Linked DNA regions of Saccharomyces cerevisiae S288C. Changing the gene in region 3 together with the main gene of any one other region gives a genetic interaction. Each region holds a gene or a part of one and is shown on either strand. Other genes may lie near its edges. The genes, in order: COB, RIM2, MRS2 and MDM38.

Region 1 (11,324 bases), on a different chromosome or scaffold from region 3:
TTAAAATAAATAAATATCCTTCCTAAGAATAATTATTATAATATTAATTAATTACAATTAATTTAAATTTTATAAAAGATTAATAAAATAGATATTTAAAAATATATTTATAATTAACTTTGAGTAAATTATAATTTTTTTAATAATAATTTCTTATTAATGATTAATAAATAGGGTGAGTAGGACGCCGGAGGAGTGAGGGATCCCCCATATATGTAAGTATACGTAAGTATACATAAGTATATATAAGTATACGTAAGTATATGTAAGTATACATAAGTATATGTAAGTATACGTAAGTTTATGTAAGTGGGGGAAACCCCTAGATTAAAAATTAATTATTAATAGTTATATATTTATAATAATTAATTATAAAATAATTTATATTATCAATATTAATAATCATTAATATATATAAAATAATTTTTATTTAATATTTATATTAAATGAGTACTCCTTCGGGGTTCGGTCCCCCTCCCTAACGGGAGGGGGTCCCTCACTCCTTTTTTAAAATACCTTCTTAATTAAATAAAATAAAAAGGGGGCGGGGACTTTATATTTTTATAAATTTAAATAAAGAAAATAATAAGATTCTATAATAATTATGCTTTATGATAATTAATTATTTTATAATAAATAAGATTAAATAAAAAATAATAATGATAATAATAATTAATAAATCTCCTTGCGGGGTTCCGGCTTCCGTGACCGGGCCCCGGAACTATAATATATAAAATAATAATTATATATATTAATATATATATTATAATTATATGAAAAAAAAAGATAGATAGATTATAATTCAATATAGTTATATTATATTATTCATTTATTTATATTAATTTAATAAGTATATTATTTTCATTATTAATTAATTTATATTTTATAATATTTTTTTTTTATTATTATTATTTAATTTTTATAAATTAGAGATATATTATTTTTAAGAATATTATTAAAGTATTATTATTATTAATAATTTTATTTTTATTTTTATTATATTATTAATAATAATAATATATATATTATATCTATGTATTAATTTAATTATATATTATTTATTAACTCTACCGATATAGAATAAAACATTTTCAATAGTAGAGATAACAGGTACAATAATTAAGAAATAAGCGAAGTAGATAAATGTAGCGATTTGTCCCATTAAGACATAAGGTACTTCTACATGGCATGCTCCAATTTGTCCTAATAATACGAAATTGAATACAAAGATAAAGAAGAAGAATTTAGATAATACTTTAAAAGTATTACCTCTTACTACACTTCTATCAGTAAATGGTAAAACTAATAATACTAAAATAGCTGCAAACATTAGAATAACTCCTAATAATTTATCAGGAATAGATCTTAAAATAGCATAGAATGGTAATAAGTATCATTCAGGTACACAATTTATATATGTTAACATAAGATTATTTAATATCTTATCTCAATAATTTTCATTATTGTTCAGACTATGTCATTAATTTATAATAAAAGATTAAAACTTTTGATATTTTATAATATATATATATATATTTTTTATTTTATATATAATATATATTACTCCTTCCGGGGTTCCGGCTCCCGTGGCCGGGGCCCGGAACTATATAAAAAAAATTAATAATCTATTCTTTATTTAAAAATAATTTATAAATTAATTGGTTTTCGTGGAAAGGTATTACTATCTCAGTTCACTTTCTAGTCGTTGAACGTTTTTATATCTTATATTATATTAATATTATTATTATTATTATATATATATATTAATATATAATATAGAGATGATATAAACTTCGCTGCAAGTTGTCATAGTATTATTTATTTATTAATACCTTAGATTTTCTTGACAATTAACCAATTTTAATCATTAAACTCCTTATGGGAGTTCCCACAAAGCGGAAACTTAAGAATATTTAATGCTACTGTACTTTTTATTATTATTTATTATTAATTAATTAATTTATTTATTATAATTTTTCATATATTTAATATAATATATTAAATATAAATTATAAAGGAATATATATAAATAACCCCGAAAGGAGAAATAAATAATATATTTTTATTAATAATTATTATTTATTTTTTTTATATAAAATAAATAAGATTAAATAATAATAATTTTATTAATATTTTTAATATCAATAGATGCTGGTGTTACTAAAGGATTACCAGGAATATAGTTATCAGGATGCTTTTATAATAAATATAAAATGGACTATATCTTCATAAAAATTTATATTACACTATCTTATTTCATAAACTATTATTATTTCTTCAATCATGTTTAATGATCAGAATTTTATTTAATAAGATTGTAAAAATATAATCTACCGATTCATAATAATTTATATTATCTTTAACAATAATTTACAAAGATGTTATATTATTATAAGGAATCTTTAAATATTTTATAAATTAGATAATATAATAATGAATACGGAGAAAATTTAATTATTATTTCATTTTTCATTAAATTTTAATCAAGCTTTATATAAAGCAGTATTATGAGGTGCTTTAAAAGCTAATAAATCATATAAATAATAAAATTTATCAATTAAAAATAAACGTTTACCTTTATTAGATTTAGAAGGACAACTTTTATTATAAAGATAAAAAATATTATGTAATTCTTTATTATTAATAGATCATTTAAAATAACCATTTTTAGCTTTATCAAAATAAATATTACCACCAAATACTTCTCTATAGTATTCAACATCATGTAAATATTTATTTGTAACGCTAATAGTTAATTGAGGTCTAATTTTTAATTTACCGGAATAATAATAATTAATAGTACCATCAGCATCAAAGAACCCTATAAATCAAGCATTATCTTTAGTTAATTTAATAGGTTCTTTAAAATCGATATTTAATAAAATACATACTTTATTAAATTGTACTAATCTTTTACTATTACGAATATTACCATTAACGGCATTAATTAATTTAATTATACCTTCTTTATTTTGTAATCTATATCTAATAGCCTTAACACCTGATCTTAATTTTACAGAACCACCAAATTTATCTTGGATTTGTCTTAACATTTTTTCATCTTTTAATTCTACAAGAATTTCACAAGATGCATATTTATTTTTAGTAATACAAAAATAACCATCTCCGTCAATTAAACCGGCCAATCATTGGTTAAATCTAATATTACTATCTTTATAAATACTATAATGTCTTTTAAGAATAATTTGATTTATTTTTTTTATATTAAAAATATTTAATAAATAATTAAATTTATTTTTTAGTGTGCGTGTAGTCTCTGAAGTATCTACTAATAAATTCTTTTTATTACTCGTTAAGTGAGTATTAGAAGAATTTATATTGGTTACCTGCTGATTATCTTCTTTATAATAATATTTTACTCTATTGGGATTAAATAAATCACTTACAATATTTATTTTATTATATTGCTTTGTTCAATTAAATTTTAATACGAAATTATTTAATTGTTTTGTATTTAAAATATTTTGAATAATAAAATAATATAGAGTTTTATTATAAATTTTTCATTGATATTTAATAAATAAAGATTTCCAGCATACAGCACATAAAATATTAATTACATATGTAATTAATAATAAGGCCATATTTTGACCTAAAGTATTAGGTGAATAGAATACAAATAATGCTAAAATTAACATAAATAAGAAAACAGTTACTAAATCTTTAAAAATAAAGTATGAATGCATTGGAATTCTATCTAAATTACCTGTAATACCTAATGGATTAGATGAACCATGAATATGTAATGCCATTAAATGCATAATAACCATTGCAGCAATGATAAAAGGTACTAAATAATGTAACGCAAAGAATCTCTGGATTAGAGGGTTAGATACTGAGCTTTTAATGTTTAAATAGTTACATATTTGAAAACTATTATCAATATATCACTATATTGTTCGGACTATATCTTAATCCTATTTATGTATATATATAATTATATATAAATATTTATAAATGATTATATATTAATCATAATATTTATTTATAAAAAAAAAAGATAAATATTACTTCTAAAGTTTTTATTTCTTATTTATTAATCATAAATTATAATTAATAAAATTATACTTTTTAATTTATAGTTTCGATATCCTAAAATAGAAATAAAAATACCATAAAATGATAAGATTTTAATTATTAATAAAAATTAATAATGAAGGAGAAAATAAATATAATAAAATAATAAATAGTTCAAAGGAATTATTTATTGATAATAATATATTTAATATATAATTAAACTCCTTCGGGGTTCGGTCCCCCTCCCGTTAGAATAGGGAGGGGTCCCTCACTCCTCCGGGGTCCGCCCCGCGGGGCGGGCCGGACTATATTTATAATAAATAATTATATATAAATTATATTTTGTTTATATAATTATATAATATATAAATATATTATTATTATATTTTTATATAAGATTAATATTTAGGAGGAATTTTAAAATAATTATTATATTTAAGAATAAGACGTAAATCTTTTAAGAATAATAAATATTGTAATTTTTTATAACCTAATAATTTAATAGGGTTATTATTAATAAATATTACAACATTTTTAATACCATTAATACTTTTAAGTGTTATTCTTGAATTATTAAATTTATCTGTATAAATATTTTGAGTAATTTTTAAATATGATTTAATAGCTAATATAACTTCTATACTATTATTTTGAGATACTTCAAAACTAGCAAGTTTTATTTTTTTATTTATAGGTTTATAAATACTAAAACAACTTTCAGCTTCAAAAAAACCAATTAATCATGAAGAAAAATAATTTTTATTTAAAATATCTTCAAGAGTATTAAATGGTTTAATAGGACGTAAATAATAAGATAAATCATTATAATATTTAATATCTTTTAATAAATTATCTTTAAAATATAAATAATCATAATGTTTATTAGTTAATATAGGATATTTATCAAAAATAGGAATAATAATATTCTTTAAATGATTTTTATTTCTTACATTAAATTTACATATTTCTTTAATAGTACCATCTTTTATTTTTAATTTTTTAATTGTTACTTTACCAATACCTAAAATATTTTTAATTTTATATAATAATTGAATATCTCTAATATGTATTTCAATACCTAATTCATATAATAAATATTTACCTTTTTTTGAAATAGTAATTCAACCATCTCCTTCAAATAAACCACCAATATATGCATAAATAGGATTATCTGTGTTTAATTTATGATTTTTATCATAAATAATAGTATTATTTATATAATAACTATAAAGTCTCTGAATAATTAATTTTATATATATATATATATTAATTACTGCTAATTTTCTTCTTATAATAAATATTTTAACTATATTATTTTTATTTCAAATTATATTATTATAAATAATTAATTGAATAATATAGTAATTTATTATTCAAATGAAGATATTTCAGCATAAAACAGATTTATTTAATATTATATTACTATAATATGGATCCTCTATATTAAACCCACCTCATAATCAAGATACAATATCGTTACCTACAAATGGAATTGCTGAGAATAAATTAGTAATAACTAGTGCCAAGAAAATAATATTATTTATAAATTATTATTATTTTTTAATAATAATAATCTCAATATTTATTGATTTATTAATATAAATAATACCCTGTATTTAATAATATCTACCCTTTTTATAATTCCATTTAATCACTATTTTCTCTTATGAATAAATATTTATACCTAATAATACCATAATATAAATATTATATATAAATGTTATATATAAATGTTATATATAAATGTTATGATGGGGTTATTATTATAAAAATATTAATCATAATAATTATAATTCATTATTTATATATTAATTAGGTAAATGGAATAATAACAGTAGTTATATATATAATATATATATATAGATTATTAAACCTTGTGTTATAATAATAATATTATAAATTTTCTTCGAATAAACATTAAATATTATTATTTTTTTTATAATAATACCTATTATTGGTGTATTCTGTTGGGATCATATAATTATATAACCCACTGTCTTGTTACTTAATAATATAATTTTGACATGTTTTCAATAATATCGCATTATAATAATATAATAATTAATATAATACTATATATTTTATTATAAATAATTACCTAATTTATATTTTATACTAGGAATAATATAAGGAGATACAATTTTAGTTAAAATAGGTATAGATTCTTTTCATACATAAATAACAAATTGTGTATTTTCTTTATTGCCTTTAAGAATAGTAGATTTAATATTATATTTATTATGTAATAAATAAAGTAAATATTGAACATCTTTATAACTAAAACAATTAGTTGTGAATTTTAAACCTTTACCTAATTTACATCCATCATCTATAATTCAAATAGCTAAAGCTAAAGGAGTTAAATAATTGTCTAAAGATTTAGGAATAACTTTAATATTACCTTTTCCAGATATATTTTTAATATACCATTCTGAATAAATCATATTAAATGAATCATAAGTTCATGTATTAAATTTTAAATATTGTCTAATTTTACCTTTTTTACCTAATCTAGTTTTAATTAAAGGTAAATTAGTATTACAATAACCTAAATTAGCTAATAAACTATGTAAATAATATAAATAATTAATATTACAATATTCTTGTTGAAATACAATTCTTGTTCCTTTACCACCTTTTCTTTTTTCAGCATGACCATCTCCTAATATTGAACCATAAATAATTGATAAAATGTTTATATTTAATGGACCAATATTATTATTTATATCTTTCTTATTTGTTATATTTAAATTAATTATATATTTATTTTTATTAATATAATCTATACTCTTAATTAATATAAGATATTCTTTAGTTTTTATTATTTGTCTTATTATAATCGTATAAAAAATATAAATTAATAATATTAACATTATTATATAAATTAGTTTTATTATATTAAATATATTTGAGGCGATATTTATATTACCTCAATGTGACAATTGTGATAGGTAGATCTTTACAAATTTTCCCCCACTCAGAACTGTACGTACTACTTTCATAGTATACAGCTCAAACAATTTATATACTATATAAATCATCCTATATTGAAGTTAGCATGCTTTCACATTAATCATTTATTCGTTATTATTATTAATTAATTAATTAATTAATTAATAATAATATTAACCATTATTAATATATTTTTATTAAAATATATAAATAATTTGATCTATATTATACATTACATATAATCTTTAGCTTTTTCAATAGTCTTTTACCCACTTATCTATATTATAATTTCTATTATTATTTATTTAATAATATTATATATAACTACCATATAATATTTATATTAATATTATATGGAAATAATTGGGCTTACCAAGTTTATATTATTATACTTTCAATAATTCACTTAGGATTCTAATTTTATACCGATGAGTATTAACGTATATATATGTATTCTAGACAGAATTGAATATCTTACTTCTCATATAATTATTTTTATTTATTATTATTTATTAATTAATAATAGAAAAAAATATTGTTTATGTTACGATATTTTATAATATTAGATTGACTTACGCTATCCATATGAATCTTACCTTAATAATTAATAATAATTATTATTATTAGAGTTTCATACAAAATTATTACTAATAATGCATGTCTAATTAGGTATATGTTATATATAAACATAATCATTTCATTAAAATAATTTATTTAATGGTATGATATTATAATAATATACTTATACTTGTCTCACTCTGTCCATAAACACAACAATAACCTAAAAAAGCTGTAGCAATAGTTAAAATGAAAATAATAACACCTACATTTCATAATAGTACTCTTGGTGATCTATATGAACCATAATATAAACCTTTAGCCATATGCATAAACATTACCATAAAAAAGAATGATGCACCATTTGCATGTAAATATCTTAAAATATAACCATTATGCACATCTCTTATAATATGTTCAACAGATGAAAAAGCTAATTCAATATTAGATGAATAATGCATAGCCATAAAAATACCTGTTACAATTTGAATAACTAAACATAAACCTAATAATGAACCCATATTTCATCAATAATTAATTGATGATGGTTGTGGTGAATCAATAATATAACTATTCACTAAACTTAAATACACATTTGATTTTCTAAATGCCATATTATTATTATTTATTTATAAAATATTAATAATATTATTTATTACTAATATTTTATATATATTAATTAATAAAAAATATATAAATATATATTATTAATTAATACTTATTATATATATATATATTTATAATTATATATATAATTATATTATAATATTAAAAACTATTTTTTTATTATATATACATATTTTATTATATATAAATTATAATTATTAAAAAAAAAAGATATTTCTCATTTTTTTTTCATTAATATAATCCATTAAAAAAAAAAGTTAATAGATTTTATTAATATTATTATTATTATTTATTAAATATAAACCTCGCGGGCGCCAATCCGGTCAACTACTGGGTTGGTCATTGGTCCCGTGGATAATATTAATTATATTATATCATTATTAATTTTTTTAATAAAAAGTTAATAATATAATATAATATTTAAAAATATTTATTTAATAATAAATAAATAAATAAATAAATAAATAAATAAATAAATAAATAATATTGACGATTATATTAATATTAATGATATCATTATTATTTAATAATAATTAATATTATGAAAGATTTTTATATTAATATTATATAAATATAATATTAATAATTTTTATATTATTTATTAATATTGTTATTATTATTATTATATTAACAATAATTTATTGTTAATATGTTATTTATATTATTATTAATTTATATTCTCCTTTCGGGGTTCCGGCTCCCGTGACCGGGCCCCGGAACTATAAAAAAAAATAAAATAAATTATATTATTATATATTATATTAAAAAAAAAAATTAAATATATAATAATTATAGAATTAATTAATAACAATTATTATTATTATTATTATACATAAATATTATTTATATAATTTATTATAATATTTATTTAAAAATATTATAATGAAAAATATATTATATATTTTATTATAGTATAATAACAATCGGTATTTATTATTATGAATATATTATTTGTATTAAAAAAAAATATATATATATATATAATTGTATTATATAAAATGTATATTATTAATAATTATTAATTAATATAAAGAATATGTTTAATTATATATACTTTTTTTACAAATATTTATTATTATGAATAACCTTAATCGGAATCGAACCGATATTATCAACATGAAGAGGTGATGTCGTAACCATTAGACGATAAGGTCTATATTTATTAATAATATATATATATATAATTATTATTATTATTAATAAATTATAAAAATAAAATTATTATTATTATTATTAAGTTTATTATTACTATTTATTAACCTAATTAAAATTAAATTAAATAAAATAAAATAAAATAAAATAAAATAAAATAAAATAAAATAAAATAAAATAAAATAAAACTTCTTCTTTAAATAAAAAAGGGGTTCGGTTCCCACGGGGTCCCGCACTCCTTCTTAAATAGGGGTTCGGTCCCCCAAAGGGATCTATCACTCCTTCCTAAAAATAATTAAATATTTTTAATATATATATATATATACATATATATATTAATTTTATTAATTCATTTAAAATTTATATTTATTAATATAATTTATATATTTATCTTATTCCTCCTTTCGGGGTTCCGGCTCCCGTGGCCGGGCCCCGGAACTATTAATATATAAATTGAATTATAATTATTTTATATTATTTTTATATATTACTTATATAATATTTCTTATAATTATATTAAGATTATATATATAAATAGGTTATTATATATTATTATATATATATACTTATTAATTAAATATATTTATATTTTATATTAATGAAGTAAATATTTTATTTAATATATATATATATATATAAATTTATTTATTATAAATTATATTCTTTTTATATTTATATTTATTATTAATTAATTAATTAATTAATTAATTAATTAATTAATTAATTAAATTATTATAATTGTTATTATAAATTATAATTATTATTATTATTTTATTTTTAATAAAATTATTATAATATTAAAAAAGGGAGATAAATAATATTTATATAATCTCCTTTTGGGATTCCGGTCTTTGGCCTGGTATCCAAAACTTATATATTATATTAATCCCCAAATAAGATATTAATATATATAAACAATTCCTTCTTTAAATATTAAATATTAAATAAAAAAGGGGGTTCGATCCCACGGACTATTTATTCTTGTTAATTATATTTTTAATATTATATTAATAAGTTATATTTTATTATATATTATATTATTATTTCTCCTTTCGGGGTTCCGGCTCCCGTGGCCGGGCCCCGGAACTATTATAATTATATATATATTATTAATTTTTATTTATACTCCTTCGGGGTTCGGTCCCCCTCCCATTAGTATAGGGAGGGGTCCCTCACTCCTTCGGGGTCCCCGCCGGGGCGGGGACTTATATTTATATATTTATATTTATATTTATATATTATATTTGTATTTATATTATATTTATATATTTATATATTTATATTTGTATTTATATTTATATTTATATTTATATTTATATAATAGGTGGGGGTCCCTATAATTATTGAAAATAATTATTATTTATAGGACCCCAGATATCTATCATTTATAAATTATTATAATATTTATTAAATTTATGATATATTTTATATTTAATATGTTTTTATATTTATTCATATTATTTATATTATTTACCCTATTTTTATATTATTATTAATATTTATAATAACAATTATTATATTATTAATAAATACTATATAAGTATTAAAATAAATATCTCCTGCGGGGTTCGGTTCCCCCCCGTAAGGGGGGGGGGTCCCTCACTCCTTTCTATAAAAAGTAAATTTAATATATTTTTTATATATATAATATATTAATCATATAAATTATAAATTATATATATATATTTATATATATATATATATATATTATAATAATCATAATATTTTTATTTTATATTTTATATTTTATATATGTATTACGAGAGGGATAATTATTTTATTATATTTATATACAATAGGATTAAACATTGCCAGTGAACAACGGGTAATGTTTGATCCGTATCATATTATATTATATTATATTATATTATATTATATAATTAATAGTTCCGGGGCCCGGCACGGGAACCGGAACCCCGAAAGGAGGAGAAGATAATATTATTACTATTTTTCTTTATAAAAATAAAATAAAATAAAATAAAATAGTCCGGTAGAAA
Region 2 (6,197 bases), on a different chromosome or scaffold from region 3:
AATTGGGCGCGCACTACGTTTAGAAACGAATATGGAAAGCACGATTTCAAAAATGAAGAATCCCTAAGCGAAGAACACGCTTCACTTCTAGTACGAGATAGCAAACCTTCGAAACCTTTCAATGTGGATGATGTTCTAAAGTTCACCTTCACAGGGGAAAAGCCCATTATTACGGGATCTACTTCAACATCATCTAGTAATTGAATTTTACTTCACGCTACTGATATTTTAAAACATTTTATTGTTACTAGTGACCTGGTAAAAATATTTACAAGTATAAAAGGACCAATTTACTGAATGAAGTAAATAAGGATCATTGATATGTTACGATAAATAATGCAAAGTAAAGGAGAAGAAACGAAGGGGTCCAAACCTTAGTAGGTTAGCTTTCTATAAACTTTGACAGGCTTTATATCCTTACAAAATGCACTTTTTTCATACTTTTTTGTTAGAGTATGTCTTGGCCCTAAAGTGAATTTAGAGTTTTTTAGATTTCAAGGCTACGATAGTAGCCTTATAACAATTTCCCATGTACCAAACATAATTATACTGTTCGGAACTGTTCTCATCAAATGCGGGGTCAACCCACTATACATTGAAAAGAGTCCCTCTTCTTTAATTATAACTTTGAAACTTTGTACTAAACCTGTATACTTTCGTTTACCATTTTCCTTGGGCGTTTGTCTCAATCTCGTCCTGACAACTTCGTGCGGATATGTTGCTATACTAGCCACAAATTTTGCAAGACCAGCGCTTCCTGATCTTTGACACCACTCCTTGACTTTCTCTGATGTGCTTTTTGTACCTTCGGCTTGATATCCAAATTTCTCAATAGACCTTTCCTTTATTAACCTCTTCATTTGTTCATATAATAGCCATTGAAGTATACCTTCAACAGAACCCAAATAAGAGGCACTCAACCCTTTGTACAAGCCAGTGAAACCCTCATTTCTTATAACACTTTTTAAGCAATCCCAAGAGTTCTTGTACTGTCGGACCGATGTTTTCCCAGCTTTATCAAGCTGTACTCTTGTTTTAATCAACCAAATAGGATTGGTTGCCGTCGCCGTTGCCCAACCTGCGGTTGCAGCAGCCATCAGATGAATCATAGGTGTTTCTTGGCCATTATTGAACGCTTTAGCATACATATCTTTAGTAGTTCCATAGGTAAAAAAATTAATACTTCTTGCTGGAATAACCCCGACTAAATTGGGGCCCAAACCCTTAAACAAGCTTCTAAAACCCTCTTGTTTGTACACATTGCCTATGATTCCCAGTGTTTCCTTGAAATGGGTTCCTGCTTGAATGACATAATTAATACTCTTTGGACGAGTAGATCCTTTACTGATATTAACAGCTTGTGATTTGTATGCTTTCAAAAATATATCACTTTGTAATCGGGTCTTCACCAAATCAAAGGGACACGTAACAACTGCACCCGCCATTCCTCCAATACCCCCAGCAACAAAATGAACCCATGGTTTTACTGTTGGATGATTTTCAATTTCAGATTGCTTCAAATTTAGTGGAATTTGTGTAGCTTCCTTATAATTAGAGCCCTTTTCATCACTTGCTAAATATGGAACTGATTCAATGGCATCCTCTTCCCATTCTTCAATGGATTTTTTAGGCATCTTTATCTCCTTGAAAAATTATGGGATATGAGAATGGTCAACTATGTAAGTAAGTAGGTGACTTTGACACAATAAATATAGGACCACGTAAAGACAAAATCGTCCGATTTTTTTACCTCAGTTAGCAGTACTTCAAAGAACAGTTTCTATAGAGAACAAGGCTACCCCTTTATACAAAGTTGAATTCTCTATGTGAAGTTAGACTTTTACCATTATTCTTTTTAATTTTACTTCTTGGATTTTGGCGTAAGGTTAATTTTTCACTAAGAGAGAGCCCGAAGCGAGGATTCAAAAGAGATGCTCAACGCAAGTAATATCTGGATGACATGAAGTGACTGTGTTGAGTAGTCTATATAGGTCAGAATAAAGAACCAAAAGAAATAATCTAAATGTACAAATTATGGATATTAGACACAATTTATTTTTTATTATATTATATATTTAAAAATAGACAAAAAATAAAACCTAAAACCTGAAAATCTTTTTCGATACAAAACCAGCATCGGGTAAATTAGATGAAAGTTTCGTATGGAACTGGGGCCAAAGTTTGAGGAACGTTACCTTCAGTAGAAACGATACGGGATTCTCTTGGTTGAGCTGGTTGTCTCTTCAATTGAACAGCAACACCTTGAGCCTTAGCTTCAGCACGCTTAGCAGCATTGGCCTTAACTCTTTCCAAAAATTCTTGTCTACACTTGGAGTGCTTGATGTGTTCAACTCTTAAGTTTAATCTTTTTTCTAGATATCTGTTACCGACCATCTTGTTGATGATAACACCAACAGAAGACTTAGTAACGTTGTAGACAACACCGGTCTTACCTTGGTAAAACTTGTGTGGCATACCCTTTTGGATAGAACCATTGGCTTTGATGTCGACAATGTCACCAACCTTGTAGACCTTCAAGTAAGTAGAAAGATGGACGGCACCATGCTTTCTGAAGTCACGTTGGAACATGTAACGAGTACGAGATCTGTAACCGTGTCTGTATTATAAGGAAATAAATCAAAATTAAGATTTATAAGAAATCATGTTAGTATTCTATTGTTTTGCGAGTTTCTGAGATGCGTCCCAGCACATAACCGAATGTTTGGAAAAAGGGCTTGTAATTACTACACTTCTAATGTTGAACTAATTTTCAAAGCAACGACTGTAAACTAATGACTTACAGCCCGTTAAAAGCCTATCATGTCACGTAATTTTCTCAGAATCAGTGTAGCATCATCTTATCTGCCCAATATTTTGCTCTAATGATATGTTTGCTTTATTCACACTAGACACGTCTTTAAATCTTTTTATTTCTGTGACGATATGTTCGGTTTGAGATACCATGATTCGTTCGTGCTGTAGATTCATAGGATTAAATGACATACGATTTACCCATTGTTGCTAGTTATTTTTGTCTTGGTTCTCTTATTCCAAAGTTCAATCGGTAATGCCTGAAATTGCACACTACTTTCTATATTATCTTTACCAGACATGACACTCCATTGGTGATAAAATTTCACAGAGGCGCAGAGACCGTTTACCTTTCCAGCTCTCGTATTGTGGCCCCCACCGCTGCCTGGGCTTCCAGCACGGCCACTAGTAGCGGTGGGCCAACACATCAAAGGAGGTTTGGCAGCGGTGCTTTTCCTCGGTTCTGAGCATGTTCTAGCGGCTGGGAAAAAGGCGATATTCAAACTCATCCTTGCCTCCAGTAAAAAAGGGTGTGGTGATGGTGAAGATGTACAGGTGTAAAACTGTCAGACTAACAAGTATAATATTGCGATTTATATTATCGAGATATATTGAGGTCAAGAGATATATACCAAAGTGAATGCAAGATGGCATGGAGAATTAGCCTTTAAATATTAACGGCTTCAATTTCTGACAATAAGGATTTCTCCAAGCCAAGGTGTAAAATCCTAAACGCTACTGAGTTGCAGTTGGGAATTTAAATCCGATCAAAATCTTCTAGCTATTTACGTTGGGTATTGAGTAATACTTGTGTCATCCAATGCCATGTCATCTTGCAAGAAAAGCGCCAGTTATGTACCTCTACCCATTTTCAAATGAAATAAAAATGACAAAGTAAAATGAAAAATGATCCGTGATTTGAAAAGTTATAAAATTTATTATACAGTTATGAAATCAGCGAATTATTTATTCTTCGTCTTCGGCTTCTTCAGCAGCTTCACCGGAAGCTTCAGCCTTTCTAGCAGCGTTTCTTCTAGCAACTCTACCTGGTCTAGCACCACCGAATGGAGAAGTTGGAGCGAAGTCAATGTGCTTTTCAGAGTCCAATCTGACCATGAAAGATGGGATGTTGACGATTTGCTTACCAACAGCAATGTGTCTTTGAGTGATTAAAACTCTGGCGTGGTGGACAGACTTGGCCAAACCCAACTTGTAGACTTGAGTTTGCAATCTTCTTTCCAAGAAATCTTCAACCTTCAAAGCCAAAACATAATCCAACTTCTTCTTGTCTTCGGACAAGACACCAACTCTAACCAATCTTCTGATCAAGGCATTACCTTCGAACAATCTCTTTGGGTCCTTTTCGTCTCTAGTTAACAAGTCTCTGGCAGCACGACGAATTTTAGACAATTGGAAAGAAATTCTGTAAATTTCTCTCTTGTTCTTCAAACCGAATTCACCGGCCAACTTCAATTCTGCGTCCAAACGAGAAGATTCGTAAGGTCTCTTTGGTGTAGAGTAAGTCTTAGAGTAAGTTCTTGGAGCTCCTAAAAAAAAAAAAGTAAAATTGGATTCTTGTTAGTCAAAAGTTTTCCCGGAACAAAAGTCTGCAAGGGCCCAAGTAAGTGCTCATAAATATTGTAGAGATATGATTAAAAACGCATAATTAGGTATCCGCCTTGGAAAATAAAATACTGTCCCATTGTTACGAGAGAGATGTTCCCTATTAGATCACCTTGATCTCTAATGTATCCCTGTTTAACTGAAGTGTCGGGAGTTCAGTGTAAATAAAGATATTCATAATATGGATAGTAATTCAGGCTGTTGTCGTGCTACTCAATGAAGGTATACTATTATGGAATTTCATATTCTCAAATATTTATGAGGACCCGAACCTCTTTCAAAATCAACGAGTCAGAGTGAAGAATTTCCCTCCTCTTCGATATAGTCTAATACGTACTTGGCATTGTTGCTTAGTCTTAGTTGTCTTGTTGCTTTCTTTCTTGTCTATGCAAATGAACAATTTTATTAAGTAAACTTCATGAAATTTATGCATAATGCTTAATGGGATTGAATGTTAAGCTACATGAGTGAAGCGCGTCCACCTGAAGCCGCCAACTTTATGATTTTTTCAAGTAACCTTTGTTTTGCGAATATGAAAAATGTACAGATGTGTAAATGTACGGATTAAATCGTCGCAGCGGGGAACACCGCTTTCTGAAATTGAAAGTTTCCATACTAGAAGGTCAAGATGCTGTCAATTAGGCTAGGAATGATACAGAAAAGCTGGCTAGCCGTTCCTTCAAAGCCTTCCATTACATCTACTTTTTTACGACTTACTTGTTGCGACTACTTTTTACAACCAGTATGCCCTCTCTGCGAGATTTATCACTAGAAAGGGACCAAGAATTAAATCAGTTACGTGCCCGTATCAACCAGCTGGGCAAAACAGGCAAAGAAGAAGCCAATGATTTTGTTGGTTTAAATATTTCAAATGAACCTGTATATGACACGGTGATTCAAACAGGACAGAGCTCTAACGCAACGAATAGTTTTGTACAAGAAACTATTCAGAAGACGAAACAAAAAGAGAGTGGTCAGCCATATATTATCCCCCAAAAAAACGAACATCAGCGTTACATCGATAAGGTTTGCGAAACCAGCGATCTCAAAGCCAAATTAGCGCCTATTATGGAAGTGCTCGAGAAGAAAACGAATGAAAAAATTAAGGGAATAATAAGGAAAAGGGTATTACAGGAACCCGACCGTGACAATGATGATAGCGGCTGATCGGATAATTACAACCAATTGCGTGCGCAAGACTTCATTGGGTTGGCTGGGAAAGAAAAGCGATGAACTTAGCAAAAAAAAAAGCTACATCAAATAAATATCAGCCGTACACTAGTTACGTATGTCTATAAATATTCTTTTCAAGATTCACACTTAAATATGAAGAGAAAAAAGAGAGAATCCAAGAAGAATACGGTTACAAACCATCTCAATCCTGAGTTGTGAATGCTTGATATATATACATCAAGGCGAAAATGAAGAATAACAACGAGCTAGCAAGAGTGATTGTTCTTATGCTAATTCTTGTTGCCAATAATTTCCCACCCACCACTGCTAATCCAGAGCAAATGGCATGACCAATAACAGCACCTGCAATAACATACCAATAGTCGCTGTCAGTAGCCATGGCAATAATACTAATTTGTGAACGGTCACCTAGCTCGCCTAGGAAAACCATCAGGAAAATTTGAACCCAAACTGGGGAAAACATAAATGATGCTAATTCGCGAATCCTGTGCACTATTTTTTTACCAATCGAAGCGTTCTTCAGCTGTTTATCATACGCAGTGTCGCCTCCTTTTTCAACATCATCCATA
Region 3 (7,389 bases):
GAGTGTCGAGGAAAAACGCCTTCGAGTCCCTGAAGTTGTATTCTTCGAGAACCCGTGCCCTATCATACGCAACATTGTGACCAATTATTACTTGCTCTTTATTCAATGTGTTTAGGGGTATCAGTGCAGCAGGATCATCACCACCACATATGAACGGCGAACACCAAAGGTACCACGCCGTCGATGACAAGGCCGTGGCCAAAGTCGGATAGTCAGAGACGTTATAGAGTGTTTCTACATCAAACACCACCAGCTCTTCGTCTGGGTATGCCACTTCGACGGGTGCCATTCCAGGTACGTATTTAACCCAGCCTGGCTTCCGCAGCCATTCCGCCGGTCGTGCCACCATCTCCGTGAACTTGTCCTCGCAAAAACTCTTGTACGGTTCAGAATTGAAACGCCCAATCTTCTGGAAATGCTCATCTAGCGACCTGCCTTGTAGTGGCGGCAGAGGAAACGATATTGGATCCGTGATGAGCGTCTTCTTCCCCCACAACCCATGGTCCTTTAGCGACTTTTTCGATAACTCCATAAGTTTGTCGCTTTGCTCCACCTCATCTTTACCACCGCAACTACCAAATACCTGTCTTTGCAAAGACTCACCTAAATACTGTATCCCCACAGGATTAATCCTGGGTGCTTCTGCGGTATTCTTCTTTGTGGAGAACCATCGAGCACAAAACTGCACACGCAGCGGCCGCCGCCGCACCATTCGCAGCATGCATTCAGATCTAACCATCAATTTCGTCATACTTGTCCCTCGTTGCTCAACAACTACATATAATCCCCATCTCGACCTCTTCTTTAGAACCGTTCTTTCGTAGTCCATACCTATTGTTGTTTACTGAGTATCGGCTAAAAGTGCGCCCGAGGTCACCCGCCACGGAGAGGGGCGAAAGCGGCCATTTCGATAAGAACTCACGCTATATATCAGCAAAGAACAATAGCAGTTGCAAGAAAAGTTGTTTGTAACTGTTTTACAAAAGAGGCACAGAACAGGCCACGCACCATCCGATACAGCATGTCCTCCGCTATTACTGCTTTGACACCAAACCAAGTGAACGATGAATTGAACAAGATGCAAGCTTTCATCAGAAAGGAAGCTGAAGAAAAAGCGAAGGAAATCCAATTGAAGGCTGACCAAGAGTACGAAATCGAGAAGACCAACATCGTAAGAAATGAAACCAACAACATTGACGGCAACTTCAAGAGCAAGTTGAAGAAGGCCATGCTTTCGCAACAGATTACTAAGTCAACGATAGCAAACAAAATGAGGTTGAAGGTTCTTTCTGCTCGTGAACAGTCGCTAGACGGGATATTCGAGGAAACCAAGGAAAAGTTGTCAGGAATTGCCAACAACCGGGACGAGTACAAGCCCATTTTGCAATCATTGATCGTGGAGGCACTTTTGAAGTTGTTGGAACCTAAGGCGATTGTCAAGGCTCTTGAAAGAGACGTCGATTTAATCGAGTCGATGAAGGACGACATTATGCGTGAGTATGGGGAAAAGGCCCAGCGCGCACCATTGGAAGAGATTGTTATCTCCAATGATTACTTGAACAAAGACCTTGTTTCCGGCGGTGTTGTGGTCTCCAATGCATCAGACAAGATTGAAATTAACAACACTTTGGAGGAAAGATTGAAATTGTTAAGTGAAGAGGCATTGCCCGCCATCAGATTGGAATTGTATGGTCCTTCCAAGACAAGAAAGTTCTTTGATTGATCGACCAGCAGCTTGTATACCTACATACTTACATATACACTCCTAACAGATTTTTTTTTGTATGTTGTTCTTTCCTCTGTGGTGGTCCAGTCTTTTGTCTCTTTTTTTTTTTCTTCTTTTTTTTTTTTTTTTTTTTTTTTGCAGCATTATGATAGAACAATAGGGCTCAAGATCGCACCAAGGCTAACAGTAACGGTATACGCAATCGTAGTGAAAGTGATTTTCAATCAAGCATCTCATGAATCGGCGTCTCCTGGTACGTTCTATATCTTGTTTCCAACCTTTGTCGAGAATAACTTTTGGAAGACCAAACACGCCATTTCTTAGAAAGTATGCTGACACATCCACTGCTGCAAACACCAACAGCACCATATTGCGGAAACAGTTACTATCGTTGAAGCCCATTTCTGCCTCTGATTCACTGTTCATTTCGTGTACGGTATTCAATTCTAAGGGAAATATTATCTCAATGTCCGAGAAGTTTCCTAAATGGTCCTTTTTAACTGAACATTCCCTTTTCCCCAGAGACCTGAGGAAAATAGATAACTCCTCTATTGATATTATTCCAACCATCATGTGTAAGCCAAACTGTATTGTCATCAACTTATTGCATATCAAAGCTCTTATCGAACGAGATAAGGTCTACGTCTTCGATACAACAAACCCTTCCGCCGCTGCCAAACTGAGTGTACTTATGTATGACTTGGAGTCTAAGTTGTCCTCCACCAAGAATAACTCTCAATTTTACGAGCATAGAGCCCTCGAGAGTATTTTCATCAACGTAATGAGCGCACTGGAAACAGATTTCAAGCTTCACTCACAAATCTGTATTCAAATCTTAAATGATCTGGAAAACGAGGTCAATAGACTTAAACTGCGGCATCTTTTAATTAAGTCCAAAGATCTTACGCTTTTTTACCAAAAAACTTTATTGATTAGAGATCTATTAGATGAACTATTAGAAAACGACGATGATTTAGCAAACATGTACTTGACAGTTAAGAAGTCTCCTAAGGACAATTTTTCGGACTTGGAAATGCTTATAGAGACGTACTACACCCAATGTGATGAATACGTTCAGCAATCAGAATCTTTGATTCAGGATATCAAATCTACTGAAGAAATTGTCAACATCATATTGGACGCAAATAGAAATTCCTTAATGTTGTTGGAGTTGAAAGTTACCATCTACACGTTGGGATTCACAGTAGCATCTGTTCTGCCGGCATTCTATGGTATGAATTTAAAGAATTTCATCGAGGAGAGTGAATGGGGGTTTACTTCAGTGGCGGTATTTTCTATTGTTTCTGCCCTTTATATCACCAAGAAAAATTTTAATTCTTTAAGATCCGTGACAAAGATGACCATGTATCCAAACTCACCCGCAAACTCCAGTGTGTATCCTAAAACATCAGCGTCTATTGCCCTGACAAATAAACTAAAGCGAAGGCGGAAGTGGTGGAAATCAACCAAGCAGCGGTTGGGAGTGCTACTTTATGGCAGCAGCTACACTAATAAGGCTAACCTGTCGAATAATAAGATTAATAAAGGTTTTTCAAAGGTGAAGAAATTTAACATGGAGAATGATATTAAGAACAAGCAGAACAGAGATATGATTTGGAAATGGTTGATAGAAGACAAGAAAAATTGAAAGGCGATTATCATGATAAACTATACAATATTATTAGCATAAACCTGTATATATACATATGTAAGAAAAAAGGGTATTTAAAACTCTTTTTAACAGCAAATCTTTTGTCCTTGTAAAAACATAAATAATTAAACTAAGACTAATTATACAATGACACTTTTTTATTAAGAGCAAAATAAACAAAAAGAACTCCTATGCATTATTTTTCGTTTTATTTTAACTTCTTAAATGGAAAGCTTCTCCTTGAACAAACTTTCCAAATCATCAACTGCATCCTTTATAGCGGCTGGTTTATCACCCATACCTTGGAAAACATTACCTTTACCACCAGCCTTACCGCCGATGATACTGGACACCTTTTTGGCAAGCGCAGAACCATCAATACCCTTGGCTAAAGCAGCATTGGAGATGTAACAACCGTGAGCAACACGACCTTCAGGGTCATTACCTGCCAATAAATAGATTGACTTGTCTTTGACAGAATCATTGGATTTCATGTAGTTGATCGCTTCAGTGATAGCTTTAGCATTTGGAGAAATATCAATGAATTTAACTAGGTATGGAGCATTCTCATTGGTTTCGAAAAATGTCTTCACTTCATCAAGAGTTTGTTTGTTTTCTTTTTTGGCCCTTGACTTAACTTCATCCTTCACTGCTTTTTCAATTTTGTTAAATTTCTGCTTCAGTTCATTTTTTGTGATAACAGAAATTGAAAGTTGACCAAGTTTGACACCAAGTTCCTTCAACTTCTTTTCTTTGATTGGAGAGAACGGCAGCTTGTCTGCAGCATCCAAATCAGCAGCAAACTGTTCAGCCAATCTTTGAGCTTCAAAGGCTTCAGTTCCAGTAACAGCAACAATTCTTCTGATACCCTTTGCAATACCGCTCTCTTCTAAAATGACGAAGTATTTAATATCGCCTGTCTTGTTGACATGGGTACCACCGCAAAATTCAATAGAATACTTGGTCCACTCTTCGTTAGCTGGGTTGGCCAACAATTCTTCGATTGGCTTACCAACAGAAACTACACGAACTGGATCTGGGTAAGTCTCACCAAAGACAGCACGAACACCATCAATGGATTTGGCCAAGTCCAATGGAATTTCCTTGTAAAACACTTGTAAGTTTTCTTTAATTTGCTCATTACAGATATCTTCAACTTTTTTCAATTCTTCATTTGACACAGCCTTTTTATGAGAGAAATCGAATCTCAATTTTTCTGGGGCAACCAAAGAACCCTTTTGATCGACATCATTACCCAAAGTTTCCTTCAGAGCAAAGTTTAAGATATGTGTACCAGTATGATTGTTCTTAATAGGGAAACGACGTAGTTCATCGAATGAAGCGATAATCTTGTCACCGACAGACAACTTACCTTCTTCTAAAGACCCGGTGTGGAAAACAAAACCGTTATACAATTGAACATTTTCAACATTAAACTCAGCAGCGTCATCAATAACAATTTTACCAGTGTCATATTCTTGACCACCTTGTTCGGCGTAGAAACATGTTTTATCCAAAATAATACCGTACTTCTTACCTGGTTCAGTGATCTCATCAACAAAGTTGGTACCGTCATGCAGTTTCAAAATGGTACCTTCGACGTTGGCGCTGCCGTATTTGAATTCATCATTAGTCTTGGGCACCTTAGCATCGTTCAACTCGGATAATTCATGGACGTTTAACTTAATCAAATCACTTTGGTCCTTCTTACCACCTCTTTTGGATGCTTCGTATGACTCTTGTTTGGCCTTTTCGAAACCGGGTCCATCAATCTTCAAGCCTTGTTCTTCAGCCATCAATTCAGTCAAGTCGACTGGGAAACCATAAGTGTCGTAAAGTCTCCAAACTTGTTTACCGTCTAAAGTCTTAGATTCAGTCTTAGAAGCAGCAGAAGCATATTTTTCAAATAGTCTTTCACCACGATCCAAGGTCTTAGCGAAAGAAGCTTCTTCTTCATCCAAGATTTCAAAGAGGAATGCAGGATCCTTGGCTAATTCGGGAAAGATATCTTGAACCTGAGAAATTAAAGTTGGAGCCAAAGTGGAGAAAAAGTTACCGATTGGGTAATTCATGTATTTACGGGCGTAACGGGCACCTCTTCTTAGAATGCGTCTCAAAACATATCCTCTACCTTCATTGTTTGGAACGCCACCGTCAGCTAAGGCAAAAGTCAATGTACGGACATGATCAGCTAAAACTCTGTAGGCAGTATCGATACCGTCCTTGTCATTCTCACCAAAATTGCCAGAATATGGTCTAACTGAAGTGATTTCTTGGATACGCTCGAACAAAGGTGTGAAAACATCGGTATCATAGTTAGATCTAACATCTTGCAGAACAGAAACCAATCTTTCGAACCCCATACCTGTGTCGATATGCTTGGCAGGTAAAGGCTTCAAAGACCCGTCTTGTTCTCTGTTGAATTGAATGAAAACCAAATTCCAAACTTCCAAGACATCAGGGTCGTCCATATTAACCAAGGAAGCAGCATTTCTACCACCTATTCTATCGTAGTGAATTTCAGAACAAGGACCACATGGGCCTTGGTCACCCATTTCCCAAAAGTTGTCCTTTGCATTACCAGGTAATATATGGTCATCGGGAACACCAACATTTTTCCATAGTTCACGGGCTTCAGTATCAGGTTCCAAGCCTAACTTTTCATCACCTTCAAAATAGGTAACGTATAATCTATCCTTTGGAATGCCGTATACTTCAGTCAACAAAGTCCATGAGTAAGTAATAGCTTCCTTCTTGAAATAGTCGCCAAACGACCAGTTACCCAGCATTTCAAAAAAGGTATGATGATAAGAATCCTTACCGACATCTTCTAAATCGTTGTGTTTACCACCAGCTCTGATACACTTTTGAGAGTTGTAAGCCCTTTTCAAGGTGTAGAAATCGGAAGCTGGATCGACAGTACCTAAAAAGATAGGCTTGTATTGGTTCATACCGGCATTAGCGAAAAGTAAAGTTGGATCATCAAATGGAACTACTGGAGAGGATTTGACAAACTTGTGTTCTTTAGATTTGAAATAGTCTAGAAAGGTATTACGGACATTAGTAGCGGTCCATTTTTGCTTATCACCGATCGTCATTATGGTTCTAGTTGATGTAGTTAATTGCTTCTTGAAAGAAAGAGTCAAGTTCCTTAATCCGGTAGTTGACGTCGTCTTGTCTTAAATAAGAAGATGTTGGAAGCACGCCTTTTTTGTAATTCTATTTAAAAAAAACCGACTTTGTTCAATCAAACTGCTTTCATATCTGATAGCAGTCGCCAACTGCGTTTTTCTTGTTTTACTCATCATCCATCGAGCGGATGAAAAAAAAGAGAAAAAAGAAACGGCCAATCCGTTGATCATGATTAAATAAAATATAGGGTTCTGAATTGTTAGGTTTAATCTGCAAATTATTCAGGTCATCGTTGACTTTTTTGCAGGGCACTAAAAACCGCTAACATAGGACGGTATATTGCTGATTTTAGACTTAACTTCTTGGTGTAGTCGTCTCTGAACATGGCATGATACAGCTTTGGTGGGTCACTAGAACAATTTGAATCTTGCTCAGCACGCTCTGTCTTACGTATATATCCAATTTCAGTTGATTCGAAAGACATGAAAGATTATTAATGTGTGCATTACCCGGATTGTCAATAACTCATATAGTTAGTATACTAATTAACTAACTATATAACGTGGCATATTAAAGATTAATTGTCCTGGTAGAATATAGACGTATCAGTGTGAGTGCCTCTGTTGATTATGAGACTACTTGCGTTGGTATTGTTATTGTTGTGTGCGCCGCTTCGTGCATGGACTTATAGCTTACGATATGGCATACCCGAATCTGCTCAGGTCTGGTCTATTTTAGTTCATTTACTGGGCGATGTTGATAATCAGCTGTTAACTAATTTATATCCTTTGGTTACCGGTTTGGATGACGAGATTGATATTCAAGAAAATCTTGTGGCGCTAACTTCCAATGTATTAAGGGAGCGATACGATAAAGAGGA
Region 4 (7,538 bases), 670 kb from region 3:
AATAAGAAGATGTTTGATAAATCATCAGCCTATCCTTCTCGTTGTAACCGTTCTTGACACTGTGGTTGTTTATCTTTTGTTATTAAAGCTCTACTTTTGAAATCCAAATCGTGTTTCCTTATGCTAAGGTGGAAAAAAATAATAATAAATAAAATGGCCAACAATAAACAATAGCCTCTCTTTTCGTAAGTAATTAACTAAACATATCTAGTTGTTGATAAATAAATTTTTTATAATCCTCATACAGAAATAGGCTTGATTTTTGTGGAAAGGAAGATGACTGTAGCTCTGCTTTTACTGTAAGTAGGGGTTCATCCAAAGCTGCTGTCTGAACTACTAAATTTGTTTTACTTGCATGCAATTTTTCAAATAAATCTCTTGGCTGTGGAGGCATAGTTTCGAGCAAGACACGGTCCCCCATGTCTATCACCTTACAGGTGTCATAAATATTTATTTGATCCTTTTCCTGCAAAAAAAATGTTGACATATTGTGCCTCAACTCTTGCAGTGTCATTTTAGACAACACAACAGGAAGCTTTTTCCTAGAATAATTTAAAGCCTCACAATAATGCGTCGATCTTCGAGAGTTTGGAAAACGTCTTTTGAGTAAATTAGGGACGGCACAAAGATCATCGAAAAACTCTTTAGATTTTGGCGGTTCTTCCATATTTATAAAATCGGCGGCATGAGGATAAGACGATAGTTTTGACATCCTGTGTGAGGGTGCTATGTATATTTAGTTTTCTTCTCCCTGCCTGAGAGGATAGATTATTGTGTATTAATACGGGCAAAAACATGTTGATGACACAAACTATAAGGAAAAAAAAAAGATGCATGATGTATTTGGTATAAAACTATCTAGTCATGAGGGAGATAAGGAGGAAATTGTAGCAAGAGGTTGGTATTTATGTCTTTTTTAATACAAGTTTCTTGCAAAACTTGATAGAAGTCATCTTTATACCATTCCCAATCGATACCAATTAGGTAATTATAGTATGTGCGTAGAATTTGGTCCAGCAATTGGAAGGACAGATCTCTCACCCCAAGATCCTTATCCCTTACAGAATATCGCGCAATAGTGGGTAAAATCTCACCTAGCATAGAGTAATCCAGTGGGAATAGTTGTAGTAGTAGAGAAAGAATCATTGTTCTTAAGGTCACTCCTTCATCAATTTTTTGGGTAAAATTTCCTGCTTTTAATGTATCAATAAAAGATTTATTTGTTTTTAGATGGGGTAATATCAACTTAATCAATTGAAATTGCTCGCCACGAGTGATGTTATTTGAATGATTTTTAACCAGCAGATGATCAATAACCTCTATTGATAGCTGTAGAACAGACAATTCGGAACCGGATTGCAACGACAAAGTATGCGCTAACGTACAAAAAATAACGTTTTTTCTAATTGGTTTATTGCCTTTCACTTCATTTAGAATTTCGTTCAAATCTGCGATTTCCCCATTGTGAGTGGGTAATTCTGTTGTCTCTTTTGAAAGAATTTTATCAATTAAGGATGTGTTTATAGCGATCTTAGTCTGCAACTCAACCAACAGTTCAGAGAAGCGCTCCTCCTGAGGATAATGTAACTCAGAAAAGATTAAAAGGATTTTGTTCGTTTCTGTAATGTCTTTGGTGGCTTCATCATTTTTTTCAACGTTTATATCATCTGCGTCTTCGTCATCCGTATCACCGTCATACATGTTTTCGTCATAACCTTCTGATACGAGTTCATCGAGGTACGCTTGTTGTTCAGGATCGTTGTCTGAGCCAAATCCGTCGTCACTGTCGATCAGATTGTCGCTACCATGGTCGTTTTCATTTTGCGTCCTTGTCAGCGAGTCGTTTAATATGCTGAGCATACCAAACAAACCCTCTCTTAGCTGGCTAATAGTCGAATCTGACAATAGAGGCCTATTATCCTTTAGCCTACGAATAGAAAAATATGGATGGAAGTTATGAACTATTTCGAGAACATCTTCGACGTTACATTCTTCTCCCATTTGCGGGGGGAATAGAACCGGTAATAGCCGGTTAGTAAATAATTTATCGACTATGGGGCCAAATTTGTACCATATTCGAGAAACTGCTGCTAAAGTATTGTACTTCATTTTGGGGCATAAATTTTCCAGGTCCACCGGATGAGTTAATTGCGTAGAAGTCAAAAGTAATTTTTCTGTGATCCTATCAATGCTTTCATTTGTATTCGTAGCAGAATAGTCCTGCGCAATTGTAAAAACGTCATTCAAAATATCAAAGGGCAGTGTGACCATTACTGAAGGACTTGCCGCGTCTGAAAAGAAGCTAAATTTTAGCAATAGATTAAGGGATTCTATGTAAATTAGCATATTGCTTTCAGAAAGTGAATGTGAAAGCTGCGCAGCATCCACATCACACATATGCCTTTTCATTTCAACAATAAATTTGGAGATAAACTCTAATGAACTGTTTACTGGTTGGTGGTAATCTAAATGAGGGGAGTTTTCAATTTTTTGTAACACATTTCTTAGTGTCTCAATCAGAACAAAAGAACGATTTGCATGTATCATGCTTTGGTTTAATAAAGGGTCGCATATCAAGCTTATTACCCATCCCAACTGAGCAGCTGCAGGGTCGCTGATCATAGAAAGAACTAAATCGGGGAGCACTTGAAACGATACTAGGTTGAGAATTTCCATGTCTTGTTCTTCGACCAATACCGGGAGCAGCAATTCGTTAACAAGAGGAGCCAGCTCATCCTCTATGTCGTTAATTTTAAAGTTTTGCCTTAAAAGCATATATTTAAGGTCATTGTCCTTAGTGGAACGATATTGCTCAATCAGTTTACTAATGTGCAAGCTCATTACTAGTTGCGGTAGAACGTGATGTTGATATAGCTGAGTGCAATGTAAACGATTTTGCTACCACTTGTGTAATGTAGAACAAGCTAACCTTAGCTATGTGTAAAAATTTTGTAGAGATGATTCAATAAATGTCACGAAAGGATTGTAGAAGGATAAGAAGCAAGAATTCACAAAAAAGAAATGCGTCACAGACAGGATTCGAACCTGCGCAGGTAAAACCCAATGCCTAATTGCTTTTCTGAGGAAATAGCAGGGCATCGCCTTAACCACTCGGCCACTGGGACACGATTACTTACAATGCACAGCAAGAGCACCCCAACAGTACTTTAAAAACTCTCCTCCAAATATGTCTGCAACGTGTACTATTTATTATAACGAAGATAAATAGTAATACCAATGGCCCATAAAAGCGTATTATTCCACTACCATCGGCCTCCCCTACCACTGAACAAGAGGAATGCGTTACGAGATGTAATCACTTATAACGAAGTGGTATATTCCGCGCCATAAGAAACAGCCATACACTTTACTTGAACAATAGAACATCACTGTAATATTAGAAACATCACCCCCCTTCTTACGAAACTGCCACAAGACAGAAATATGACAGAGGTTGTGGGATTCTGGGAGAGCGTGTCAGATGACGAATCAGAAGACAAAGACTGTATGGAGGTGCAGAACACAGTGAGTGCCGACGAGAGCCCACTTGTGCAGAGCCTTGTATCCTTTGTAGGCTCGTGCTCCATCAACCTACTTTTGCCCTTCCTCAACGGCATGATGCTCGGCTTCGGCGAGCTATTTGCTCACGAGCTCTGCTGGAGATTCAATTGGTTTAACCATAGAAACAAGGGGTATAAGGTGTACCCAGAGTCGCGCAAAATAGCAGCATTGAAAGAGATTTCAAGCCCTGGCACCCGTGGGAGGGTTGCGTCCAAGTTCCTTTAAACGATCACCAAAGCATTAGCAACCTACATAAATAAATACACACACACATACGGTAGATTATACGTAACCACATAACTGGCAATAGTTTCACAAGCCATAAAGCTAGCCACGGTATTACCCTCAAACGACCCCGTCTTGGGCGATAATCCCGCGGTGAAAAATTATTCGTTGAATCATCTCCAAATAAATGGATCAGTCATTGCCACGGTGATGAATATGAACAGCGCAGTGCATTTCAGGCAGCGCATAATATACGCTATCTCTATCACTACAGATAATATACTAAGATGTTGAATTTCGCATCAAGAGCGTCATGTGTGACAAGACGTCAAGCAAGCTTGTATTTTGTTAAAAATCAAGGCCCTAGATTAATAGCTTCCACTATTCCCTCGTGTCATTGGCCTTTGAGAGCGCAAGGAGTACAGCCCAACTATCCTTTATCTTTGAGATTTTATTCTACTGATAAGTCGAAAAGTGTTACGAAGCCCGTAGCTCCAACATCCACCGATGCTCCTGCCAAGCCCAAGGAGACGCTTATGGTCAAAGTGAAGCACGCCTTGAAACATTATGCTAATGGGACGAAACTTTTGGGTTACGAAATCAAAGTTTCTACTAAGCTTTTGATTAAATTTGCTCAGGGTTACGAGTTGTCTAGAAGAGAGAGGAACCAATTGAGGAGGACAATGGGCGATGTGTTTAGGTTGATCCCTTTTTCAGCGTTCCTTATTATTCCATTCGCCGAACTATTTTTGCCTTTCGCTTTGAAACTCTTCCCCAACTTACTACCCTCCACTTACGAATCCGGCAAGGATAAGCAAGCCAAGAGAAATAAGCTCATCGAGATCAGAAAAAAGACATCCGAATTCTTGCATGAGACTTTGGAAGAATCCAATTTGATCACTTACAACACCATTGAAAATGCAGAGAAGAAGCAAAAATTTTTGAATTTTTTCCGGAAGCTTTATTCTGCCAAGGAAGGTAAGATTATGACTTTCCAACACGATGAAATAAGCGCCATTGCGCAAATGTTCAAAAACGATAGCGTTTTGGATAACTTGTCAAGACCACAATTGGCAGCAATGTCGAAGTTTATGTCACTAAGGCCATTTGGTAACGATAACATGCTTCGTTACCAAATTCGTTCCAAACTAAAGGATATAATGAACGACGATAAAACTATTGACTACGAAGGCGTTGAAAGTTTATCGCAAGAAGAGCTGTATCAAGCTTGTGTGTCTCGTGGTATGAAAGCGTACGGTGTATCCAAGGAGGACTTGGTCGATAATCTAAAAGTTTGGCTAGAATTGAGACTGAGACAAAAAATCCCATCCGTCTTGATGGTTTTGAGTTCCACGTTCACGTTTGGAGGACTTCCAAAGGAGAACTATTCAAAGGCATTCTCGCCACTAGCTGAAAAAAAAGAAACAAAAAGCAAATATGACGACCTTTTGGATCTGTACTACGACGGTATATTACAAGTGCTAAGTTCCATTCCAGATCCCGTTTACAACGTCGCAAAACTAGATGTATCTGAATCGAAATCATCCGCTGCTGAAACTGAAGCTGAAAAGCAAGTTGCTGAAAAGAAGATAAAGACGGAAGAAAAACCCGAGGAAACTGCTATACCGAAGGAAGAAGCCACCGCAAAAGAGTCTGTTATAGCTACCACCGCTTCTGCGGTTACTCCTAAACTAGTCGTAGTTAATGAAAAGGCAGAAACAGCGAAGACAGAGGAAATATCTCAGGAAAAAGAGAACGCAGAGCCTACCGACTCTGCGGAAGCCACGGAAGCTGAAGAAAAGAAGACATCCGACGATAACGAGTTCAAATTGAACGTTTTGAAGGAGCAAGAAGAACTAATAAAGAAGGAGGAAGAGGAAGCTAAGCAAAGAGCTTCGAGAGAGCATGTGCCAGATGATATCAACCTAGATGAAGAGGAAGAAGCAAAATCTGTACCTCCCATTCCGGCCGATCAAGCTGCGAAGACTTTTGTCATTAAGAAAGATTGATATTAGATCAAAGCCTAAGAAAAAAACTAAAAAAAACTAAAAAAAAAAAGTCAATCGGTTCTCTTTTCTCTGACAACAATGGCAAAAGATCAAAGAGAAGCGTACGTCACGGCAAAACCAGCGACCCTTCAAAACTAAATTATTATGCATGTATATAATAGACACCCTATCTAAACTACCGCCTTATTTTTTTTTTTATACAGGAGCAAAGTGTCTTTTTTGTGATGGCCACGAGGGTCCTTTCACTCATGACTCCTTAATCAGCATCTTATGAGCTGGATTTTCATATATCGGCGATTTTTTTCATCGGTAATGCACGCAGTAAAGCTGCTCGCTCGAGAAAAATTAGTAATATATGGAAGAAGAAGCATAAGCATAAAAGAGAAAATCCGCTGCCCCACCGTAGAAAGCAAACAAGGCTATTGGTTATTCCTCTTTTCACCTGTACTTCAATCTGTAGCACATCATCATAAGAGGCTTGAAAGTTGCTCAAGAACAGTTTCAACGGTTTTTTCTTTTGAAATTTGAAAATTGCTCTTCGTTTGTTGAGCCGTTATCAAGGAAGTAAATCATCAATTAAAGAATATAGAAAGGCACAAAATTTTGTCATTTACGCACACTTTCAATGGATCATGAGACAACGAAGGTCTGTAGTAGCAGTTAGCGTAAAGCCCAAAGGCTTCAAATTGGGGCATAAACAGGGTTCCATGTCTACGACGTCTCCACCTCCATCCTCACCAGATGGAAATGTGAGTACATCAGGACCGTCAGCTATTAAGTTATCCAAGAATTGGGAGTTACCACAGCGCCTAAAACCGGGCCGCAAACCGAAATCCAAGCGCGGGGATGCATCAGCTAATAATGATGGATCGTCCAAGATAAAGAAGGTTCAAACTTCCAACCAGAAAGACCAAATGACCACAAAAGATCATGAGAACGAAGGCGCAAAAGGTCATGAGGGGAAATCTGATGATGAAGGCAACGGAAGTGGTGATGAAAACGGTGTCGATAGCGTGGAAAAGCGAAGGAGGCAAAATAGAGATGCGCAAAGAGCATATAGGGAACGCAGAACAACAAGAATCCAGGTTCTGGAAGAGAAGGTTGAGATGCTACACAATTTGGTCGATGATTGGCAAAGGAAATATAAACTGCTGGAATCTGAGTTTTCCGATACAAAGGAAAACTTGCAAAAATCAATAGCATTAAACAACGAATTGCAAAAAGCCTTGCCTTTGATTGTTAATACTCCATTTCAACAGCAGCCAGAAAACCCGCCAGACAATCCTATTTCGATATTAGAAATGGTAGAAAACTTTAAACCAATCGGCGCTGTCAGTTTAAAAAAAGGAAAGCTGAAGGCCCATTGTTAACATCTCATGTGCCCGCGGTATTAACAGACCAGTCTTTGTCTGAGATTGATATAGCCAACGATTATCAATATCTGAGCGGCAGACAGTTTAGTTCAACGAATTCATCGCTTGATGGCCATATTAATTCACCTCTGTCTTCATGCAGCAGCAGTATCAATGCATGTGCAGGCAGTGGCAACAAAAAAATAAAATGTTGTAGGAATAAAGATGCCATGAAACCAGTAACATGTTGCAACCAAAAGAATAACATAATGCCATCCTTAGTCCCCGTTTGCTGTTCAGAAAAGAAAATAGAATCCGATGCTAAGAAATCAATATCGAAATGCTGTGGAGACAAAGAAATCTACGATAGCGAGAATAGACCGATCACTAA

What was found.
Region 1: of MRS2 (region 3) and COB, extra expression of one rescues a mutant of the other (dosage rescue), as found in Saccharomyces cerevisiae (one study listed by BioGRID).
Region 2: of MRS2 (region 3) and RIM2, extra expression of one rescues a mutant of the other (dosage rescue), as found in Saccharomyces cerevisiae (one study listed by BioGRID).
Region 4: mutations in MRS2 (region 3) and MDM38 together harm fitness more than expected from each alone (negative genetic interaction), as found in Saccharomyces cerevisiae (2 studies listed by BioGRID).

Annotation. Positions count from the first base shown.
Region 1 is NC_001224.1:33,378-44,701, reverse strand, and holds COB (cytochrome b), read right to left. Parts: upstream 8,163-11,324; coding exon 7,748-8,162; intron 6,980-7,747; coding exon 6,966-6,979; coding exon of another isoform or gene 6,123-6,965; intron 5,562-6,122; coding exon 5,485-5,561; coding exon of another isoform or gene 4,437-5,484; intron 3,862-4,436; coding exon 3,612-3,861; coding exon of another isoform or gene 2,451-3,611; intron 2,195-2,450; coding exon 2,144-2,194; intron 1,406-2,143; coding exon 1,055-1,405; downstream 1-1,054. Other genes in the region: cytochrome b mRNA maturase bI2, read right to left, coding at 6,123-6,979, 7,748-8,162; cytochrome b mRNA maturase bI3, read right to left, coding at 4,437-5,561, 6,966-6,979, 7,748-8,162; intron-encoded RNA maturase bI4, read right to left, coding at 2,451-3,861, 5,485-5,561, 6,966-6,979, 7,748-8,162. UniProt on the Saccharomyces cerevisiae protein: Component of the ubiquinol-cytochrome c oxidoreductase, a multisubunit transmembrane complex that is part of the mitochondrial electron transport chain which drives oxidative phosphorylation.
Region 2 is NC_001134.8:603,089-609,285, reverse strand, and holds RIM2 (Rim2p), read right to left. Parts: upstream 1,635-6,197; coding exon 501-1,634; downstream 1-500. Other genes in the region: RNA polymerase II mediator complex subunit MED8, read left to right, coding at 1-204; 60S ribosomal protein eL21 RPL21A, read right to left, coding at 2,146-2,617, 3,006-3,016; 40S ribosomal protein uS4 RPS9B, read right to left, coding at 3,778-4,358, 4,772-4,778; NTC20 (Ntc20p), read left to right, coding at 5,179-5,601; putative ribosome biosynthesis protein GDT1, read right to left, coding at 5,810-6,197. UniProt on the Saccharomyces cerevisiae protein: Mitochondrial transporter that imports/exports pyrimidine nucleotides into and from mitochondria. Selectively transports uridine, thymidine, and cytosine (deoxy)nucleoside di- and triphosphates by an antiport mechanism.
Region 3 is NC_001147.6:942,635-950,023, forward strand, and holds MRS2 (Mrs2p), read left to right. Parts: upstream 1-1,961; coding exon 1,962-3,374; downstream 3,375-7,389. Other genes in the region: DNA-directed DNA polymerase gamma MIP1, read right to left, coding at 1-751; VMA4 (H(+)-transporting V1 sector ATPase subunit E), read left to right, coding at 1,022-1,723; ALA1 (alanine--tRNA ligase), read right to left, coding at 3,599-6,475; KRE5 (Kre5p), read left to right, coding at 7,139-7,389. UniProt on the Saccharomyces cerevisiae protein: High-conductance magnesium-selective channel that mediates the influx of magnesium into the mitochondrial matrix.
Region 4 is NC_001147.6:270,260-277,797, reverse strand, and holds MDM38 (ribosome-binding protein MDM38), read left to right. Parts: upstream 1-4,073; coding exon 4,074-5,795; downstream 5,796-7,538. Other genes in the region: YOL024W (uncharacterized protein), read right to left, coding at 194-712; LAG2 (Lag2p), read right to left, coding at 859-2,841; MIM1 (Mim1p), read left to right, coding at 3,445-3,786; YAP7 (Yap7p), read left to right, coding at 6,428-7,165; YOL029C (uncharacterized protein), read left to right, coding at 7,378-7,538.